Lepisosteus oculatus: one gene and its partner. The protein of the gene in region 2 purifies or fractionates together with the protein of the main gene of each other region. This does not show direct contact. Links are inferred from orthologs where the notes say so. Each region holds a gene or a part of one and is shown on either strand. Other genes may lie near its edges.

Region 1 (8,155 bases), on a different chromosome or scaffold from region 2:
AACTGCAGTTCAGTTGGAGATATACCAATAAAACATTTAGATATAAAATAGGTTCCAAAATTCAGGAATAATGCTCTTCTCACCATTGAATTTCTTAACAATACTCTAAAATATGAAAATAATTGTAGTCAGAAGTGTGGTTTGTAACTAATTTACATTTCTGAAACTCAAAGGCATTCGCTGCAGGCATCGTGTACATGCAAGACACGAGAACCGAGGATATGAAGAAGATTAAAATTAAGGAAATGTGACATCTTTGTACATGTCTTACCTAAAAATAGTATATTCTTCTCCATCTGTGCATGTTATTCTACAAAGAGGCGCAAGCTCCGTGAGAAACTGTCCACCCTAGAAAATGAAATAAAGGGATAAAACATTTTATTACAAGGGCAGTAGTGGGATGAAATAATTTACGTTTTAAATATACAGAAATATATATATTGCTCACACATACTTCTTCAAATGATATCTCTGCTGTTTAGTAGCTGTATTACTTCGTACACCCCTTTCAACATGCTTATGGCTTGTAATGATATTTGTAATTTGGGAACATTTTCAAACTAAAATTGATGTTATCCCCCCATGATTTTAAAACAATTTTTACCTTGTACCTCGGTAGTATCGGAGAAATTATTGACTCAATACTTGATGTAATTTACATTTAACCAGCAGCACGCGATACAGTAGGCTAATGCTTTCAGTCAGTGTAATAAGCCTCCATCACCTAACAAACAACACTGAGAGGACTGTCACAAGTATCACCAAACTGGAAAGAAGGAGCTTGTTCATGCATGTCATATGCTGTATACAGAGGCTTGAGAAATACCCTTTTTGATTTCCCCGACACTTTGTTCTGAAGTCGGCTGCAGTTGGCACTGATCTGGTAATTGATGCTCTTGATTTTTTTCCCATGTTGTAAAATGGGATGTGATTCCGCAAGTGTGACGACACAGATTCTGCACACAAAAAAAAAAGAAAAGACAAGCACCACACTTAGAGCCACCAAACTAAAGAAGAACGGTGAAAGGGTTTTCTGGCAGGTTATGAACTTGGGGTGCAAATCAGATGCAGTCTGAATCCCTGACTGCAGTGTGGATACAGCTTTCGAGACGCATCCAATCAATAAGGAAACTTTAACAGCAGCAATGGAAATTAATCTTTTTATCATTAAGCTCATGAAGACAAATGGAGACTATTATTTAATGCGGAAATGCAGAATGAGAGAGATACAAGAAGCTAATCCTTTCTGTTTGTGGATCTGTCTAATCCCACCTAAAAGTCAATTTTATACATTTTTTTTAAGTGGGAAATGTTTTTCTACCGAATATTTCATATTTGAACAGATTGTACGTAACATCGGCGTTGCTACAAGGGCTTCTTGGATTTTTAGATCATTCTAGAATGTGTCACAAAGTAAGCCCTGCAGCTTCATAAAAAACAGCTGTCCAAATACATTTCATTCATTTAAACATGGCTGACAGTCAGCCATTTTCACCTTTCACAACATTTCTGTGGTTGACAATTTTGACAAGTTAAAATGCCTTAATGCAGACTTCAATACCACCCACATCAACGACCTTATTCACAGACTACATTCTTCCCCAACTCTAAATGTCAGAAAGTCTTTGGACAACTAGAAACTAACAAATCTAGGTGTTAATGTTTTTTTAATTATGTTTGAAGTAAACCACTTTATTTCCAAACGACTGAAAGTGGCTACTTAATATTAAGGTTGTCATAGAAACAGTTGGTTCCCAAGCAGTACTTAAGCTAATTAGAAAACAGCACGCTTGTTCTGCAGATCTGCATGTAAAGTCCCCAATAGAACACATTTAATGTCAGAAGGCATTTGATACAAAGGATATGCTAAAGTAATCTAATACCAACTTAATAATAAGCTTAGGTTAATTTTTTTTATTACAAGTGTATTTTATTTGATCCTTATAACGGAATGTCCTCTTTCAATATGCAGCCAGGAACTTAAGGAGAGGATATTTCTACCAAACAGCCTCAGTGCAAACGTAAAATTTTCTTATCGTACCATTTTAAGTCATTTTTTGAAGGTTAAAAAAGGATATTTACAAAACAACCGATCTTTATTTTCTACACATAAAGATTTTTGGGGGGTATAGTAAAAAATATGAAAACATCTCCTATGCAACAACAATCCAGTACAAACAGCACTGGATATTCAAGGTGAAAGATGCTTTAAAAAATCCCTTTTTGAGTATTATATGTGTATTTTTGTATCAGAGCATGTGTGCATCTTGTAGAACTAACCTGAATCACAAACAAAGCTCAGATGAATCTTAGAACAAACACAATTTCAAACATGATATAAAAAGGGCAAGACCACTGCACTGTTATAAATGTATATAATTTTAGATAAGCGTTAATAGGTTTATATACACTTCAGCTAAATAAAGTTTTTATTTCTACAACATTTTATTCTCAGGTCTTTTAGGTTTTGTTATTTTTTATCCAAAAATCGCAAAGGGGAGCTAAAGTATTTATTATTAATAACTAAGCAATTGGTTACACTACAAATTGTTTCTGTAAATTAAACATCAATTAAAAAATAATTTCTGTACTTACCTATTGGAATGTTGCAGAATGCAGTGGTCCTCACACGGTTTATTCTTCAAATCTTGATTATAAAAAGTCGTAATATCATACAAATGTAATGTTAAATATACATTAATAATATAGTAAAATCAAATACAAAGCGTGCAATAACATTAACATTCGACACAACAATCTGTATTATAAATTTAAACTTTGAAATTTACATATAATTTTTCCTAAATTATTTCTCTCTCCATGTACCTTATTTATTAAGGCAAAATTTCAAAAAGGGTTAAAATCTGTGTAAATACTTAAGTTGCTCTCTCGTTTAAGAACAGTTTAAATGGACAAGAACTAATTTACGTACCTGTTTTATACCATCGGGTAAAATACCGATCAATAACAGAAGGAGTTCCGTCATTATTCCCACCTTCCATCGATAAAGATAAACAATCTGGATTACTTTAAAGTAATTTGATTTTATATACAGCACAAAATTGTGTTACAATATTTCAACAATGGGACTCGAAACACTGTCACACCACAAATGTGATTTCTTCCGTACGCCAGTAAATATTTCCGAGTGCCTCACGAACTGCGCAGATTCGTTCCTTTTGAGTTAATGCACAAGCTCTCGGTGTATTACTGACACCTACTGTATCTATGTAAAATGCAAAAAGTGACATTAAGAAAATTCTGACATAATGATTGACAACTAGTCCAGTTGACCTAAAAATGAAAGAAAAATTTTATATCTTTTCCCTACATTTACATAAAACATAATCCAGAAAATTAATTTCAAAAACACTTTCTATCCACAACACCATACCCTAGATCTGTTTCAGAATTCCTTATAATGCTTTTCAATCCGTTGATGAAAGATAATCAGAATTCCTTTCATCTATCTTGTATATTTCATATCATAGGGTCGCAAAGATTTATCTCTCAAGTCAGCACCAAACTGGGTGACACAGGATTGCCTTTATGTGCTAACACAGCCACAACACATCACAACAGACAGCAGGGAGGGAATGAAAAGTTACTTTTTACGGTTTAAATTAAGGTGGAGTTTCTGGAAGGCCAGATTGTACTAAAGTTCTGAATATAATTTACACCTGGGTTACGCTGATGCCTTTCAAAAAGTGACACAGGAATTTAATTAACCAATTATTCAGAACCTTGGTTCAATCTCAACTAAAATACAGAGCCTCCCAATATCCCAGTTCCTGGTAAATGCACACTTGACAATATTTTACCTGATTTTGTGTGCTTTAGAACCACGGGTATATGCAGTTTCTGAAGGTACATGAAAATCCATCCATCTTCAGATCACTTCATCCAACGAAGGAGATGGATCCTAACCTGCGAAGCAACAGGCTCAAGACAGGATAGACTTACACAGGATGCCACTCCATTGTAGGGCAGTCACACAAACAACTGGGCCAGTTTTCCCTGAAGCCAATTAACCTACCAGTATGTCTTCAGAAGGTGGGAGGAAATGGGAGTACCAGGAGGGAACCCACACAAACACACAGAGAAGATACAAACTGCACACAGATAGCAGCCCAGGTCAGGAAGTGTGAGTCAACAACGCAAACTACTGCACCACCATACTGCTACCCATACACATACGTAAACACGTCTAAATATATTTTACAATAACCTGAATTTCACTAGGAATAACAACACCCTGCACCATCGAGAGCGCCCTCACCAATGGGATCAATGTGTGGTACAGCAACACCTCTTCTCGAGAGAGAAAGGCACTGCAGAGAATGGTGAATGTGGCCCAGAAGATCATCCGTTGACTTCTCACAGAGTTTAAACAGCTCTATGAGGACCGCTGCCGTGGTAGAATTCTGGCCATCACAGAGGACAGTCACCACCCCAGGCATGAGCTCTTCACCCCACTGCCCTCAGGCAAGAGATACAAGAGCATATAGACACTTACCACCAGATTCTTCAATTGCTTCTACCCACAAGCAGTGCAATTGGTGAAGACATTTGGCCATGCCCCTTGGACCACATCTACACCATCTATCTCATTATAATTTCTTATTTATTGCTCAACTGCAGTCATTTTTTACATGTCTGCATTGTTTACATTCAAACTGTTTACTTGTTTACTTGTACATCATCTACTGTTTGTTTGTATGTTGTCTTGATGCACTGTCTGCACTTTGTATTTTTACACTTTTTTAACAATTGAGAGACTTTTTGTAAGTAAGAATTCCATTGTACCAGTACATGTACTGGTTACACATGGCAATAAAGTTCAAGTTCAAGTTGAACCCTAGAATTAAGTGTACTGTAGGATTATCGAGTGGTTTAGTAAAAATTTGGCTCAACCCACCTGGTTGAGGACTAAGCTTGTGGCCATAGGGAATCTGGAAGGCTAAGTGTTTTGATTCCTCTTTCTTCTTAAAGTGTGTGAATTTGTTTTATATTATTAAATATTACTACTGTTAATTCATATTTCTACAACTGCATAAACTTCTTTAGTAGTGTATAAATATTTATGCACAAACTTTATGGACTGTAAATAATAATTAGTTATATAATAAATACAGATTAACATTTCCTTTAATAATGTATTAAGGAATTGCTCCCATTTGCATTTAGGTGTTGTTACCTCACGACAATCTGCGTACATAAAATCAAAGGTACGATTTGCACATGATTGCATAGCTGTCATCATTGTTCAGGTCTGGTATCAGCATGATTTACCTTGGTAAATAAAAAAAGGTCTAGACAAATTTTGCACCAACTTATAAATAAACAAAATTAATGACGTTCTTGGATACAAAACACGGAAAACCATGATGTTTAATTTATCCTGTTTCTAGAATTGACTCTAAACAAATGTCCATAAAGTAATATTTACAGCTTTTGGTTAATCAAAAACCAACTGGAACTGTTTCGTTTTGCTATATTCCAGTTACTATGAGGAGATTTGCTGGCATTGCATAAAATTGGCTATTCTCCACTAGCAGGAATTTGACAGTGTCAGCTAATCTGTCAGGCACTGTCAACTTCAGAATGCCAGGCTTGTGAAATACTGGAAAGAATTACTCTTACCAGAACTACTTAAACTGTTTTTCTCTCTTTGCTGTAATGCATGCATTTTCTGCTAATTAAATTTATATTGTGCTGTCATAAATGCAAGCACTAAAGGACAATGATTGAGTAATCTTTAAAAAAAAGATTTAGAAAACAATTATTAATTTCAAGTATAACCTTATACAGCTGTTTAGTCATAAAATATTAGTTTTCATGTCTGGTGTTCATCTTGTTTGATGCTACATACTGTACATGTGTAGGTAACATACAGTACTGTATATGCCACTAAAATACTGAAATTCCTCATCGTTACTTCTTACCAAAAAAATACAAATTTGTTGTGGACAAATTAATTTTCTCTTTTTATCTGGGTTTATATTTTACAAATAGTTTTCCTGACTGTCATAGATTTTTTAGCAAACAAATAATAAACTTGCATAACTGAGAGAATGAGTGATGGTTCTTTTTTGTCACAGTGGTCACCTAATGCCCTTGATTTAATCATTGAACAAGGTTTTATACACTTTATTAAACATTTTATATTTTTATACTCTTCATGGATATATTGTGTAATCTTGACAGACACAAGAAGACATTTAATATCTGTCAATCATGAACATGTAAAAGAATAAAACCAACAGTCAGAATGGGTGTTCTCAACTAGTAATTCTTTTTATTATTTTTATTTTCTATTAAACCTTTTTCGGAACCCTTTTCCAATGGCCTTGGCAGATATGCTCTAAGTTTGTTCAATGCTAAACTGTCCCAAAATAATCTGATGACAGCTCAGAGATTCTTACTCTAAACTTTAGGCTTGTCCAGGGTGCAGTCTGCCAGCACTAAAGATTAATTTCAATCAACGTAATAGCATGATGTAATCAGTGGTGCCTTTGTTAGCATGCCACCATCTTGTCTCAGAACTCATGGCCAATGTTGTTCCCGTACCAGCGGAGTCCGGGACCTGGAAGCACCTGGTCCCTTCAAGGTTTTAAAGTTCCTGTTCCTGTTCCTGCTGGTTCTGACCCGGTTCTGTCTTGGATGAACCGCCCAGTTCTTGATTTTGCCTTCTCTCAGATTCCCCGTTGGACTCAGTTTTGGACAGTTTGCCTCGGCCACACCTTCCCCGAACACCAGCGCATTATGGACACGCCCCTTGTTTTCATTCCCGACTCCCACATGCTTTTTCCCTGTGTTTTTCCTCACTCTACCCCGGATTGTGTCGTCTGCATAGGGTCCGGAAAGAACGCTTTCATGACAAGGGGTTCTTGCTCGAGATGGACTCGAGATGGACTCGAGATGGACTCAAGACGGCTAACAGGCCTGTGGGACTCCATAGGTTAGGAAGGCTTGAAGAAGTTACAGCAAATGCTGTTCTGATCAGCCTCACAGATCCTGGGACAGCTGGGCTGCATTGTAGTTTATTTGGTTCATTTGGTCTGCTGATGAACAGAGTTGTTTTGCAGGACCAGAAGTGAAGGGAGGCGATAACTTCACAAGTTAGTGGCATCCCTTCTCCGCACACACAAGAGTGTGGAGTCTAGGCAGCACAGGTTATATCCGAAATACACCCTGTCAATTGAAGGGAGCAGGTGGCTGGGCCGACTGAGCAAGAAGGCAGGGAAATCACGAGCCTGGCTGCTGCTGTGTCGAGGGTCGCCAAGGCTGGTTATAGAGAAACATCCCTTGCCAAAGAGGGTCAGCCGGGAAAAATAGGAGAGAGAGATATTAAGCAGCAGCCAGAATCCTGACCAGGTCAAGTGCAATTGTTCACATTACTCCTATCCTGGAGTCCTTGCACTGGCTTCCGGTCAAATTCCGTGTAGACTTTAAAATCCTCACGCTCACCTATAAGGCTCTGCATGGCTTGGCACCTCTGTACCTGTCTGAACTATTATCACCTTACTCCCCACTTCACAACCTTCACTCTTCTAATTCTGCTCTCCTTACTGTCCCCCAAGCCTGTCTACATTGTATGGGTGACAGGGCCTTCTCCTGTTATGCCCCCAAGCTCTGGAACTCTCTGCCCTGGATATCAGAGAGTCACCTACTCTAAATTCCTTCAAATCCAGACTCAAAACCCTCTTCTTCAGAAAAGCCTTTACTTAACTGGTTCCATTCTTCATCCCTCTGCTTTTCTTAGTATCACCATCCACGGTCTCCTCTGTATATTGTAATTGTGTTTTATCTTGTGTATTCTTCTTATTTATTGTTGTTGTCATCCTGTAAAGCGCTTTGAGAAGCCTCCTTTAAAGGCGCTATATAAAATAAAGTTTATTATTATTATAATTATTATTATATTAAGAGTAAAAAAGAGACAGATAACGTCGAAGACTGTTAGAGTGAGAGATGTGACAGAAGAGCTGGGAATGAGTAAACTGGGTTGAACTGGGTGGCGTGGAGTGGATTGTAATGAATACTACCAGAGATAGTGAAGTGTAAGAGAAATAATTGGGTGCCTTGTAAAAGTATTCACTCAAATGATATCTTTACATTTTTTAATGAATATGTTTAATCAAAATAAGAATACAGA
Region 2 (7,240 bases):
ATGAAGATAGACCTTTTCACCACACACTTCAAATGGAATAGAAAACAAAACAAGTGTTATCACATTTTCCACTGTTTCCAAGTTCCACCACACAACAGAAAAAAAAGCACACTAAGACTTCAAGAACCTGACTGCTCTCTACTGGAGAACCTTGAAACTGAACAAGAAAAGGTAATCTGGATAATATACTGTACTGATACACATTTAATATGGAAATAAAAACAAAGCTGAATCTGTAACATCATACATTCATGTAATGTCCACAAAATCCCGTCTTTGCCCTACACTTTTCCACAATCAATCAAGTTAATATCCCAACAGAGCTGCGATGGCCTCATTCTCTTTTTGTTTGCAAAGAGTTCTTTTTGAGAATGAACATATTAGACTACATATTCTACCAGTTGACTTGTGATCAACTGGTAGAGATCCCACCTACAGAAAAACAGCATACCAGAAAAGAGATACGTTTCCTTCACAAACCACTATATGTGCCTATTACACATGAGATCAAAGAATCAGGGTATAACAACTCTACCACGTACCACGGCCTGGCCATTCAGTAGATATAAACCTCATACACCTCATGCACATACAGGCAAACATCACTTCTACCCTAGGAATGCATCCCCATAAAACCACCAACACAAAACCCCCTAATACAACTTTTATGCCAAAATGGCAGGACTGGCCATCTACATACAGCACATATAACACAGACTGTAAAACCTCCAAGTATGATTTTTATCTGTCATTAGATTCTTGAACGTAGTTATAGCTTGGACATTGCACAGGCCTTGAGATGCATGAAAATGATCACTCTCTCAGATTGGAGAATGACTAGACAAAGCAGCACAGACAGACAGGACTCACCTCTCTCACGGAGAGCTGGGGTGGAAGAGACACTGACACAACTAGACTGTTGAACTGGTAGCCAGCGGAATCCACTGCCCGGGACATCTATCAGTAGCAATAATGTGAGGGAGGGGTCAACAAAAAAGCATCAAAATACAGGAGCCTACTGAACACCTTTCTTCACTACCAGTTTCGGCTTTTTCACTTTACATTTCACTGTATTCACGATGATTTTAAATTGTCAGCACGTATTTTAGCTTACAAATACAGAACAGTGATTTTTTAAATGCTGTTCTACATCATTTCATTTTTCTCTTTAAAGTCTATTAACCTTGTGATGTTCTTTTATCAGGGGAAAGTGAAGCAGTGCGTCCATCTCAAGTGCATAACAGGAAACTGCAGAGCAGTGTAAGCAATATGATTACAACTTTTTGATTTGTTTCTTATTATCATGGACTTGCTTTATTAAAGAAATATAAGCTTCGCACAACAGGCTTTGTCACAACTTTTCCAAACACTTCTGTTCTTTGTCATTTTACAAAGATTCAGTAAGAAGAATGTAGGATATATCTGAGCTTACTTTTTGGGCAAACTCTTTGTCACAGAAGTCCTGAAGCACTCCCAAACACACCACACAAACGTTTTGCTCATTTTTCTGGGTGTCAAAGCTGTCCCCAGGCAGGGGTATAACAGTTCCCTTTTCACCAGCTACACTGATCTCTGCTCCCTCCAGCTTAATTCTTTTACAAGGGGGGTCCTCCTCTTCTTCTGCTGCAGCAGTAGGGTTACTACTTTCATCTGGTTTGGCAAAACGGTGCAGTTCATCCTCCAGAATCTGCAGGGAATAAATAAGAAGTCTTTATGCCACTAGACACAGCTGCACCTTGAAGAAAAAGCACTTGGATCTAGATCAGGCATTTCCATTTTGACAACAAGGATTATTTTAGACTAAAATAATCAAAAAATGCTAATTAAATTTAAATTAAAATGCCAAAAAAATGTTCTTGCAAAGTTAAGATATGGTAGATTGAACTGAATAAAACTGAGAAGATCAAGAGTGTAACTATAAAAAAGAGCAACAGCAATACCTGATATGGCTGTCTGTAGGCAGACTGCAGACCCACACAACAGAATCGAAGCACACAACGTGGGCAACAGCCTGCTTTCAGCAGAGTCTGTACAATTGTCCTGTCCTTCTCCTTAAGGGGCAACATAGCTCTGACTGTAAACACAAGGAAGAATGGAAAATGCAGTCGATTTCAGAGTAAAACAGACCAGGTAATGCTTTTCTTACCATCACAGCATCACATAGTCCAAACATATCAGGAGATCTACTGATCTTGAATTGAAAAGTTACGGTTTCATCATCCTATCACATATTTCCTATCTTAATTACAACTGGGTTATACCTGGAGGTACCTTAGCTAACAATATCTAGACTAGTCCGTTTTATTTGGACGTTCTGCGTATGATTAAAATCTCTCCACCTTTGTCGTGTCATTCTGACATGTACTGTAAACACGTTCTTCCACCTATTACCAGTTGACTTTACCTGACTTAAAAATTATTAAATATTTTGTCAGTCCTGCTTATTCTCGGTTCAGTACCTGTCCACGGCTTTGTCTATGACTGGGTTTACAGAGGACAGCCAGTACATCAGCACATGATGTAAGCAACCGTAAACAGAATTCTTAGCGGACGAAACAGGACATTATTCACCTAAGCATATCCACATCACGCATCTTTACCAACAATTATATTTTTCTTAATGTATACAAATAATACATCAATCTGGCTTACAAAATAATGATATAGCAAGGTTTATCACTTTTTATCACTTTTAATTTGATTTATACATTGACCATTGCAATGACTGCAATGTCTCAGTAAGTTTAACTCGGCTTAGTTTTTTTTTTTGGTCCTGTTCGTACAATAAAGTTAATGGTCGCCAAGTTGATGTTGGACAGCAAACAGGATGTCCTAATGTAGCGTGATTACCCAACGTGCTGCTGCTATTGCACTCCTACTATTTCAAAGAAACATTAATTTCTGTAGATAAAAGAAAGCACACATGAATATTACAACAAAACAGAACAGCCTCAATAATTAAAACTTCCTATATGCATTCAATTGAGGTTGCACGAAAACAAAGCACATTCCGTACGTACGTGCTTTCTACACATCCCCGAGCTCTTCCACGTCCCCTGCGTCAGTAGGCACGATTAATTGTTCTCCGAACAGTAGATCTACAGCATGAGCACTCGCTTTAGATGCCAACCTGGTGTAGATTTAAGGCAAAAAAATTACAAAAGTAAATATATTAGATTATTAATTCTAAGGCACAAACACGTCCTTGTGAATTAGCACAAAACCTCGAAGTTCTAGGAATCAAGCCCAAATGGTTCATATCTAATTCAACAAAAACATCGATGTATTTGACAAGAAATATATATATTTTTTAGTTAGTGATTACAAATCGTTGTGTTTTCCTCTGAAATACATTTCGAGTGTATGTCGCACTCGTATTACAGTTTCACATTCAGGCTCATACTTTTCATCCTAATTCAATACCTTCGTCCTTTGCTGCGATCCATTATTAAGGTCTAGGACAGGACCAGTGTGACGGGCTGGATTCTGAACTGTGAACTGGGTAGGAACTGTAGAAAACAGGGTAACCGTTTTGGGGGGATTTTAAAGGATGGCATCGCAGCCTCCCCCGAAACCCTGGGAAAGACGGATTCCAGGTGCCATTTCTACTCCAGCTGCCTTTCAGTGAGTAAAAACGTTGTCTTTTTGGCAATGCTGTGTTTAATTGTTGCTTAGGCCTGCAGTGGCTCTTCAGATGCCTGCACTTTTTACAGGCTTATTATTAATGTACATGTAGATAACAAAGATAAGCAAACTGGCGCATATCACTTATATCATCAATCTGAATACAAATTTAAACAACTATGTACAATGAAAAATCCCTGAAAAATGGCAAAAGCATTCATAGTTTTACTGTTCAGTCAAAACAGCTGCGATTGTGTAATTAGCTTTACCAGAAAGACGTTAAAAACAGTGGAAGATTTTAAAAAGTCGAAGACGAACTTTTGCTCAGCTCAGATGTGTAGTTACCGCAGTCCTCTGAACACTTTCAATTTTTCTTTTGTTCGGTTTAGCTTTCAGCAGAGAGCAGAAAAGAATGAGATGCGTTCTGTGCAGCATACAATGCAAGCGAAGATCGACAAATATGACATGTTTGCTGAGGTATTTTAATCTACGCGCGTGTGTAAACCTAAATGGGGCCTGCTTTCAATGAACAGGTCAACGGAATTTGGGTCCACTGGCCTGTCAAGACCGGGCCCTCCTGTCCTGACCAGAGTTCCACCTCCCGTTCCCCCAAGACCATCTCAGCAGGATCGTGGCAACAGTCTGACAGCCTACCGACCAGCATACAGCTCCTTCTCCTCTTCCTACAGCCCCTATGGAGGCTCAGTATATGGGGGCTACAGCCCATACAGCTACGGCTATGGGGGTGGGCTGGGATACAACAGGTTCCGTGCGGACGAAGCTCCACCCAGCCGATTCGTGCAGCAGGCAGAGGAGAGCAGCCGGGGGGCCTTCCAGTCCATCGAGAGCATCGTCCACGCCTTCTCCTCCGTCAGCATGATGATGGATGCCACGTTCTCCGCCGTCTACAACAGCTTCCGGGCAGTCTTGGATGTGGCAAACCACTTCTCCAGGCTGAAGGTCCACTTCACCAAGGTCTTCTCCGCCTTCGCTCTGGTGCGCACCCTGCGGTACCTCTACAGGCGGCTGCAGAGGATGCTGGGACTGCGCAGGGCGTCCGAGGCGGAGGACCTGTGGGCGGACAGCGCTGGCGTAGTGGTTGAGGCTGGAGCTGAAGACAGAGCTGCCAGCTCTGTCAAGTCTTGGCCTATATTCCTTTTCTTTGCTGTCATCCTTGGAGGACCTTACCTGATTTGGAAACTGCTGAGTTCAACTGTTGGGGCAGAAGAAACTGGTGAGTCCCTTTCGAGACAACAATATAGTCATGTATGGAAGAAGAAAACTCACCAGGAAGGAAATACACAGGTTGGAATATATTAGAAATAGGGTTTGATTGTTTTGTTTACCATTATATTAAGACACAGCCTATCCCTTCCATGGTGAAAAACAACAGCAGTGATCTTCATTTGCTACTTACTGTCAGTACAGTGTTGGTCTGTTTAAAACTATTGTCTGAAAGTATGTCTGATACAGCAGAGTTTAAGTGTATATTATAGTGTCTGTTATAGTTGAGTATAATCGCTTTTAACCATAATTGTTTGAACCCAAAGCATCCACAAACTGGGCAAATGGCGACGATGACCACGTGGTGGCAAGGGCAGAATATGACTTCACAGCTGCCTCGGAGGAAGAAATTTCTATTCGTGCCGGGGATATGTTGAACTTGGCACCTAAGGGTAAGGATGTGATCCATTTATTTTAAATTACATTCCCATGTCCAAAGTGCGATTCTGCATAATTAAGTCCCAGTTTTATAGACTTTTAAAGATATGCTGCAGAACGTTGGCATGGTTTTAAGAGGGACATGACTGCTGTCTCATTTGTTTGTTGCGCACATACTTTTCCACAAACATTAATTATAGTGTTTTTATTCCTGGCAGAACAACAGCCTAGGGTACGGGGATGGCTTTTGGCCAGTTTGGATGGTCAGGGTACAGGACTCGTCCCAGCCAACTACGTTAAAATTCTCGGCAAAAGGAGAGGCAGGAAGCAAGCAGAACTGGAGAGAATTGCAGAGCAGCAGCCAGGGTCGGCCAGCACACAACAAGCACTGGGAGCTGGGGCAGCTGGGGCAGCTGGGGCAGCGGCGGCAGCGCCAGAGACCCTTTCAAACCCCGAGGATGTGTTCGAGTCCGTGTTCACGGGAACACCGGGAAATCCCGAGAGGAAGCCCTCTTCCAGTGCTGCTATCGTTATTCCTGAGAAAATAGATCTGTGAAATTTGTACTATTTCTGTGAACATTTTTTGGGGGGGAATTTGATTTTAAAACCAATTCCCTACACATCACTGGTCAAGAAAGGGGAGAAACTGAAAACGTTCTATGTCCTCAGGCTGCTCAGATTACCAGATGACCCACTGTCCGTTTCGTCACTTCACTGACAAGTGAATGCAGCAATTATCACAGGAAGCTAAAAGCCATTTCAAGACAAATTAAATATGTTGTCTGGAAACTTTGGGTGACCCCCAGTCTCCTGTGTCCGATGAGATAATAAATATCCTTGGTTTTCTTTTAATGATGACACTGGCAGAAAACCTCTTGCTGGTTGCATTTTGTAGTCATAATGATTGAAGGCCATTAAATTATGCCAGTGTATTTTTAATAACATTGGACATTCTAGACGCATTTAAGATTAACAGGTTGCCAGAAGCTGTTCACTTGCATATAACTTTGATTGTTTGGCCATAGGTTTAAATTTGAAACTGAAAAGAGAAAGTTTTAGAAAATGGATAAGTGGAAAATAAGTGAATTGTTCTTTTTTTTATAAAGATGGGATAATGCTGAGTTTTTTTGTTCTGGTGAAAAGTTTCAATCATTATGTATTAATGACAAAGTATATATTTTTTAACAAAGTCAGCATTTTAGGATGAAAACCAAATCCCAAATAAGAGGGAGAATATCAATTAAAAATATTAAAAATATTAATATATTAAACCTATGTTTTACCATAACAAAGCTATACCTTATTGTTTTCTTTGAAGGGCTTTCATTGTTTTGTCAATCCTTTTTTTAAGCTAAAGAGCTTCACACTGAATTGTTGAATATGACACGAGTAAACATGGAATTTCCTGTTACATGTATTTCATTCGATGCACTGTTGTTTTGACTCATACTGTTGTCTCTTACCTTTGAGAAAAGATCGAAATTGCTCCTGGGTGCCTTTGGGGGGCTTGTGATTTAAAAGGTTAATACAAAGTGTACAGGGGATTTAATTTAGTTTAATTTAGTGTGCAATGATTGGTCAGTTGTGTTTCACACAAAACTATGAAGTAGGCTATTATTACGGAATAACCGAAGCATTCTTAGAATTGTAAAATCTTTTAGTGTATAAAGATTCGCATTATACACTAAAGGTTACTTTACTTGGAAGTTTGGCTTGGTGAAAATCTAAGCTTCCTCTCAAGTATTAGTAATGCTAATTCATTGATGCAGAGGTGTTTGCACATCGTGAATTAAAGTATGCACAAATATTCAAACTTTCCACGCAATTTTTTATTATTTTTCCCATCTAACAGATTGTAATAAAATTAGATTTAAAAAATATTTTTTTAAAAACAACTTAATGTGAAAACAAAAAATATTAAGATTGGTACAGTATGCCTTCTGTTTTTACAGGT

The links.
Region 1: the proteins of pus10 (region 2) and abitram purify together in Homo sapiens (affinity purification with mass spectrometry; 3 studies listed by BioGRID and IntAct, counting the BioPlex papers as one, with this or other methods). This does not show direct contact. The link is inferred for Lepisosteus oculatus from reciprocal best matches to the Homo sapiens genes PUS10 and ABITRAM.

The regions. Positions count from the first base shown.
Region 1 is NC_090705.1:32,604,492-32,612,646, forward strand, and holds the start of abitram (protein Abitram), read right to left. Parts: upstream 3,128-8,155; 5' UTR 3,003-3,127; coding exon 2,933-3,002; intron 2,648-2,932; coding exon 2,596-2,647; intron 957-2,595; coding exon 827-956; intron 349-826; coding exon 272-348; intron 1-271. UniProt on the Homo sapiens protein: Actin-binding protein that regulates actin polymerization, filopodia dynamics and increases the branching of proximal dendrites of developing neurons.
Region 2 is NC_090712.1:9,897,612-9,904,851, reverse strand, and holds the start of pus10 (tRNA pseudouridine synthase Pus10), read right to left. Parts: upstream 3,130-7,240; 5' UTR 3,021-3,129; intron 3,010-3,020; exon of another isoform or gene 2,851-3,009; intron 2,806-2,850; exon of another isoform or gene 2,784-2,805; intron 2,765-2,783; exon of another isoform or gene 2,460-2,764; intron 2,075-2,459; 5' UTR 2,067-2,074; coding exon 1,941-2,066; intron 1,688-1,940; coding exon 1,433-1,687; intron 958-1,432; coding exon 871-957; intron 1-870. Other genes in the region: pex13 (peroxisome biogenesis factor 13), read left to right, coding at 3,551-3,624, 4,158-4,858, 5,175-5,300, 5,505-5,842. UniProt on the Homo sapiens protein: Protein with different functions depending on its subcellular location: involved in miRNA processing in the nucleus and acts as a tRNA pseudouridylate synthase in the cytoplasm.